Schizosaccharomyces pombe: one gene and its partner. The gene in region 1 interacts genetically with each later gene. Each region holds a gene or a part of one and is shown in the gene's direction. Other genes may lie near its edges.

Region 1 (3,760 bases):
TCGGATATTGAAAAGTTTTCAGACCTACAACTCTCTGAAAACATCCAAAAGGCAATTAAAGAAATGGGCTTTGAAACGATGACAGAAATTCAAAAGCGCTCTATTCCTCCTCTTTTGGCCGGTCGTGATGTTTTAGGTGCAGCTAAAACTGGTAGTGGTAAAACTTTGGCTTTTCTAATTCCTACCATTGAAATGCTTTATGCATTGAAATTTAAGCCTCGTAATGGTACTGGTGTTATTATTATATCTCCTACTCGTGAATTGGCTCTTCAAATTTTTGGTGTCGCAAAGGAGTTGTTGAAATACCATCACCAAACATTTGGTATCGTCATTGGCGGTGCTAATCGCCGTGCTGAAGCTGATAAATTGGTGAAAGGTGTTAACCTATTAGTTGCTACTCCTGGTCGTTTACTGGATCACTTGCAAAATACCAAAGGATTTGTATTCCGCAATTTACGATCCTTAGTGATTGACGAAGCCGACAGAATTTTGGAGATTGGTTTTGAGGACGAAATGAGACAAATCATGAAAATCCTTCCCTCGGAAAATCGACAAACCCTCCTGTTTTCTGCTACACAGACAACTAAAGTTGAAGATCTTGCTCGTATCTCTCTTAAGCCCGGACCCTTGTATGTTAACGTTGATTCTGGTAAGCCTACCTCTACCGTTGAAGGATTGGAGCAAGGTTATGTTGTAGTTGATTCTGACAAACGGTTTCTTCTTTTATTTTCCTTCTTAAAACGCAATTTGAAGAAAAAAGTTATTGTTTTCATGTCATCTTGTGCTTCTGTCAAATATATGGCAGAATTACTGAACTATATAGATTTACCAGTACTTGATCTTCATGGCAAGCAAAAGCAACAGCGTCGTACAAACACCTTTTTTGAATTCTGCAATGCCGAAAAGGGAATACTACTTTGCACCAATGTTGCTGCACGCGGGTTAGATATTCCAGCCGTTGACTGGATCGTGCAGTACGATCCTCCTGATGACCCCCGAGATTATATTCATCGTGTAGGTCGTACAGCTAGAGGAACAAAGGGAACTGGTAAATCCCTTATGTTCCTCGCTCCTTCTGAGCTCGGTTTCCTTCGTTATTTGAAAACTGCCAAGGTTTCTTTGAATGAGTTTGAATTTCCTGCCAATAAAGTTGCTAATGTTCAATCTCAGCTCGAAAAGCTTGTTTCCAAAAATTATTATTTGCAGCAGTCTGCAAAGGATGGATACCGTTCCTACTTGCAGGCCTATGCCTCATATTCTTTAAAATCTATCTTTGATATTAATAAATTGGATCTCGCAAAAGTTGCTAAATCATTCGGTTTTGCTCATCCTCCAAACGTCAATATCACTATTGGTGCTAGTGGACGAACAGACAAAAAAGAACGACGTGCGGGTTATAATAAGAAGAATCACGTTGATGTTTATTCAAAACAAAGATCATCAGCTATTTCTCAAGACAAAGAGCGTGGATGGAGCCGCTAAACTTCGTTCATATTAGAAGTTGATTTCATTTAAAAGGTTTATTTAATTCGGTTTTTCTGGCTTTTACAAATGACTTGGATTTTGAATGGTTGAAGGGAATTTTTTTTTCCTTTCATCCTTTTAATATTGGTAAATAGGGTTGTTTTCGCTCAAAAGGTTTACGTGTTTGAAATAATGGATTTCATAATTTTTATTGTAAATACCCGTGTAAGTTATTCAAAGGGAGTTTGATATCGGCTATAAATAAAGCCAAAACTAATCATTGCAACGAATGGTCGTGATCGTAACAACAACGTCTGTCTTGTATATCAAGGACTGTGGTATTTTGTAACAACAATTCAGATTAGCAGCATTGCATATTAGCTCTTGCAAAGCACTTTATTTTTATGCTTATATGTACGATTGAATATTTGTTAGAACTACAAAGCACGTTGCGTTGTCTTATAACATACTAGTGAATTTTAATGTGCTCCTTAAATGTTTTATGATGCTGCATTAACTTTTATTAAAATATCACCATCTAAAGCAAGCGCATCTTCAAGTATTGTATTTCTCTGCCACAATTGACCGCAAACCTTCGAGAAGCCGTTCCTTCGTCCACTATAGAAATAGGAATGAGTGAAAACGAAGTTGTCGGGTCACCAACCACCAATGGTGATAAAAATGAGGATGGTTATCCAGCTGAAAATGGAGAAGGCACAAATGTGGATGACAACAACAATGAAGAGGAAAAGGATGGAATTCCTTTAGATAATGACAATGATGAGAATGACTCTTCTGAAGAATCTGCAACTGATGAAGAAGCTGAGCGACAAGTTAGAGAGGGTTTCATCGTCGAAGATGAAGAAGACGAAGTTCCTCAGGAAATTCGGCGCAAAAAGAAACGTAAGAAGCATGCCGAAAGTACTGCTGATCAAGATATGCTTGATGAGGAAGATCTGGAACTTGTCATGGAGAATACAGGCCAAGGCTCTCGTTTTTCTAAGTTGAGACGTTTAAAACGTGGAAGAGATCAAGAAGAGACTCTTGAAAACATATTTTCTGAGGAAGAAGAAGAAGAAGAAAACGAAGTCGATGATGAAGCTCCTAATCGCACGCAAGGCCACCGCGCTGGCGTTATCGACGAATTTGCAGATTTCATTGAACAAGACGAATTTGAAGACGAAGAGCGTCAAGAAGAAAAATATGAGACTGGTCCGCCCATAGAATCAGTACGACCTGAGGCTTTAGGAATATCGGATGATGATTATATACAAATATACGAAGTCTTTGGCGATGGAACAGATTACGCATTTGCCCTTGAAGATGAAGATGCTGAAGACGAGTTAGAAGAGTCTGTCAGTTTGAAGACCATTTTTGAGCCCAGTGAACTAAAAGATAAAATGCTTACCGAGGAGGATGAGATCATAAGAATCACGGATGAACCTGAACGTATGCAACTTTATATGAAGAGGAACATTGATTGCTCTGAAGATGAATTTAGGGAACAAGTTGCTTGGATTATCGATTATCTCTTAAAAAATAGGCGTGATATTGATGCTGAACTATATGAGCCGTTTCAAACTGCTGTTCGCTATGTAGTTCACTTCTTTATTCGTGATAGTCTTGAAGTACCCTTCATATGGCAGCACCGTCGTGATTATATAGTGCATAACAATCGTGAGAGGAACACAATTACTCCTTTATTAAGTCAAAATGATTTGTGGAATATTTTTTTCCTTTGCACCAAGTTTTGGTCACTTCATTCTAAGAAGCAAGATATCCTAAAATTGTACTCTGATTTGGGAATTAATGATGATTTAGTAGTTCCCTTCTGTGAAGCTGCTTCCTCTCTTGATGCAATTGATGACCTTAATGATTACATACATTTCACTTATTCTGAACAAATCCGTGATCGTGCCTTACTGATGGGTACTGGTCTTCGTCGTCCACAAGGTTCGAAGTATTCTTTTTTTGAAAAATTTAGAAAATCATCACTTTACAATCTCGTCAAAGAATTTGGTATGAGTGCTAAAGACTTTTCGTTCAACGTAGCACAGGGTGCTCGTCTCCGTTTTGTGGAAGACAACACCCTTTCGCCTGAAGAACTAAGTCGTACTTATGTGACAAATGAGCTGTCATCACCTGAGCAGGTACTTCAAAAGGCACGTAGAGTTTTAGCAGAGGAAATTATTCATGATCCTCAATTTCGAAAGTCTTTCCGTGACAAATTGTACAATGCTGGAGTCGTTACTGTTTTGGCCACTCAAAAAGGTGTCCGTAAAATAGGTAGTGAGCA
Region 2 (3,760 bases), on another chromosome or scaffold:
TTGAGCAGTGCGGTCTTCTGCGACATGGCTTGGAAGACTCAGCGATTTTAAGTTTTTTACATCAAAGTCATGAAGATCAGTATGATCGTCTTTGAAGAGTTCGTAAAATTGCTTTGCTATAGCACGTTAGTAAAATTATCATTTATCCTTATAAAGAATTAAATATGGGTGGTCAAGTGGAATGAGTTTCAGAAATAAAGACAAGTTGTAAACTCAATAGATAAAGAAACTAATAAGTATTTAGAATAGTTCAAATACCCCTCTTGTTCGTAGATCATCGAAACAAACATGTAACAAATTCGTAACCTCCTCCAATATGACCAACTTACCAGCTTCATAATGATCTTGAGACAAGAGATTAAGATATGAGTGAACAAATATAGGAAATAATATCCTGTGAAGTTCAGCTTTGTACAATTCTAACGAACTATCCACCCAGTCTCGTAAGATCGTATACGTGTGTGTGTATGCATCTGGAGTTTCCTCAATGCTTTTTAACTTCTCCTCTACTGACACGCCAGAACCCGATGCTTCCAAACGAAGCATCGCCTCGGTCCTTGAGTATCCCTTCTTCGCAAGGTAATCCAGAACAATTCTGTTCAGATCCTGCGGTTGCGGCCCATTAGTGGCAGACATGGTTAAATTCTCCAATACTCTAGCTTGAAGAAATTAATTAGAATCCAAATATAAATCTACAAATGACCGTGATTCATATAATTACCTGCGCAGAGCTCAAAGCAACTTGCTAGGAAGTAGCATATGTCGAGTTCGTGTCTATTAACATACCATTGTGTACCACGCTAAATTGGGAATTTGCAGGATTTATGAATAACTGAAATTTGGAAAGGTTCCACAGTGTCTGTGAGCGTTTTGATGTCGAAATCCTATCTAAATTACTATTTCTTTTGTCCTACTCAAAAATGAACTGTCTATGAAATTGTTTTAATGTCAACACAGGATTGCGAGGCAATGAACGCTAGAAAAAAAAAATAAATAAATAAAAGTTTTGCATAGTAAAACTTTTTCAATTAGATACTTTTTAAAATTCTTTTTTGATTTTCAATTCGGTTTTAAAAACTTTCACTTACTTTTTTTTTAGAAGTTTCATCCCAATTTCGGGATGTTTATAATTTTTTAATTAAATTATAGTAGGGCCCCTTATTAAAATAAAACTAAATGTTGGGTTGAAATTTAAATAGGGAAAATGTAGAAGTTTTTTTTAAAAAATTCAAAAAATTGGGAAATTTCATATTTCCTTCAAAATCATTAGTTTATAACAAAAATTGATGTAGCATTGATAAAATGAGTTTATCAGAAATTATATGTTTTTTTTCCTGTTACAGATTTGTATGGTTTTGAGTCTTAATCGGTTTATTTATTTATTGATATATTTATTTACATTATTGAAATTTACAAATAGTAGGTTGCGATGAAGTAATGGACTGTAGATAATAACTGTAAACTATCAATTATTTACATTCATTTTTAATTATATTTAATTTTCTTCTTTACAGTTTTCTTTCTTTTGGACCAGTTTTAGGGATTTGGTGGTAAGTACTGTGTTTTCATTTGCCTTAACATCCAAAGCATCCTTGCTACCAACTAGCCTATCTTCATCCAGCGAGACGACTTGACAGTTTTTTCGTTTTAGACGAAATAAAAACCAACAGCTCCAAATTTCGACTATTGCAATGTTCTAATTAATGCTGATAATATTCTATTGGTTGGGAAGATCGATTAATCTACTTTTCATAAGCATATAATAAAACATCTACATGATTTTTAAGTCACTAATATTTTCCTCTTCTCAATAATTAGTAATATAACTTTGCGAACTGAAAATCACTGTCAAATTATTAAATCTTATATTTTGGTCGATATTTGCTATTGGCTTAGTTATTTCTTGCAACCTATTCTTCATGAACGGCGTTAAATAATTTAAATCCCTTTTATTGTTGTAACTGTTGCTGGTTAATATTTTTTACTATTCATTCGTTTCCATTATGTCTACAAGGTCAATCGTTACTAGTAAAGTTTCTTGGACTCCAGAGAAGTTCATTTCAGCTCTCAGTTATCCTGAGCATTGCTCTATTACTCTCGTTAAGCGACTCAAGGCTTCTGTAAAATTAAAGGACCTCAAGCAAAATATATCTCGTGATGCACCTTCGTGGACGTTCGAGCATTTGTTTGTGGCTTTCAAATGTGCAGTCAGTAACTTAGCTAAGCAATGGGCGGAGCTATCCACTACAGATAAGGAGAAAACTAGAAGGATGTTTTGTACACCTTCTAGATTAAATACGGCTCACCGTCCCGAGGTTTTCTACCTGTTAGAATGCTGTACATATATTCTCGAACAAATGCAGGTGGTAACCAAAAATACAAGTCATTTGTATGATTGCATCCGTAGCGGGGTTTCAATTTGTAATCGGCTCCTGGACATGGAGATTTTTGAACCAGCTATCAGTCTTTTGATGAAAACTCATAAAAACCTTATAATTTTACTGACATATCGGGACCACGATGCCATCCCTACTGCTACCCTTCTTAATCCCACTTTAGATGTTTCAGAAATCCAATTAGAAAGCTGCCTTTTTGTTCCTATGGTTCCTGCCTCTTATTTCTTAAATATAGGCACTATCGTTGTCACATTTCAGCTCAATGTATTACGATGTTTATCTTTAAGTCAAATTAACGGTTTGTCTTTGAATACAATCAATAACTTACAAAGCGAAGATGGCCCTTTTCAATGGATTGAAAGAAGCTTTCCTTCCCAGGTTCAATTGGCCAATTCGAGAAGAGAAATTTTAGCTCGTTTGTTGACAAGATTTTCCATGATACAAAATAACGCCTTACAATCGTTCAAACTTTTAATCCTCTCTATAGCTTTATGGTTGAATATTCTTTCTTCCCAGAGAGCTGACGATAAAGAGTTTGATGTAAATCAGCTTGAAACGAGAATCCTCCAACTTTTCTCAAAAGTTGTCCAATTATGTAAAAGCGAAGATATTGAAGGATCTATTTTAAATAAAGATATGACACAACTTCATCATCTTCTGGAAAATTTATCAAAAGAATCGAGGTTGCATATTTTGCTTCAACTTTCTCAACTTTATTATAAATATAATGATTTCCAATTAAGCGCTGCATATGTCATTAGAGGCTATTCTTTGTCATTTGAAGACATCAGTTTTAAATTAAAATTTTTATTATTTTCTTTTCGATTATCAATTCACGATAATAGCATTTGTTTTCCGTTCAATTTAATCCAAGAGTTGTCGTCACTTCAGCAGCTCTTTGTCGAAAATGCTTTACCATATTCAGAAGCTCTACATTTATTGGATTCAATAGAGCGATCATTTCGACTTTTCAATGACTCGACGGTTTTTGATGATACTGTATTTGCTTTGAACATATCAGAAATTTTATCGTGGATACTCTCATCGGTTGTGAGGGATATCCTTGTCGAGGATGAGCTTTTAAATCTCCAACTTAAAATAAGAAAGTTTTTGATGTTTACATTTCATATAATTAGGTCATTTAGTGAGTTGACTAAATTTCAAAGTTCTCTGGAAGGCTGTTTAAATCTCGCAGCCTACTATGAAGATGCTGAATTTCCTCAAAAGCTTTCCAATCATCTTTACAACTTGTGTGTAAAATCTTCTAATGTTAATTATGCACGTGAATGCATAAGTTTGAGTATCAAAATTGCTGTATCACATAAATTGACTAATGATGAAACATATCTCCTGAAAATTTTAAA

What was found.
Region 2: of spt6 (region 1) and cut1, extra expression of one is lethal in a mutant of the other (dosage lethality), as found in Schizosaccharomyces pombe (one study listed by BioGRID).

What each region holds. Positions count from the first base shown.
Region 1 is NC_003424.3:4,215,140-4,218,899, reverse strand, and holds the start of spt6 (transcription elongation factor Spt6), read left to right. Parts: upstream 1-2,038; 5' UTR 2,039-2,096; coding exon 2,097-3,760. Other genes in the region: ATP-dependent RNA helicase Has1, read left to right, coding at 1-1,482. UniProt on the Schizosaccharomyces pombe protein: Histone H3-H4 chaperone that plays a role in maintenance of chromatin structure during RNA polymerase II transcription elongation thereby repressing transcription initiation from cryptic promoters.
Region 2 is NC_003421.2:641,809-645,568, forward strand, and holds the start of cut1 (separase/separin), read left to right. Parts: upstream 1-1,600; 5' UTR 1,601-2,003; coding exon 2,004-3,760. Other genes in the region: taf5 (transcription initiation factor TFIID subunit 5), read right to left, coding at 1-116, 330-636. UniProt on the Schizosaccharomyces pombe protein: Caspase-like protease, which plays a central role in the chromosome segregation by cleaving the rad21 subunit of the cohesin complex at the onset of anaphase. During most of the cell cycle, it is inactivated by securin/cut2 protein.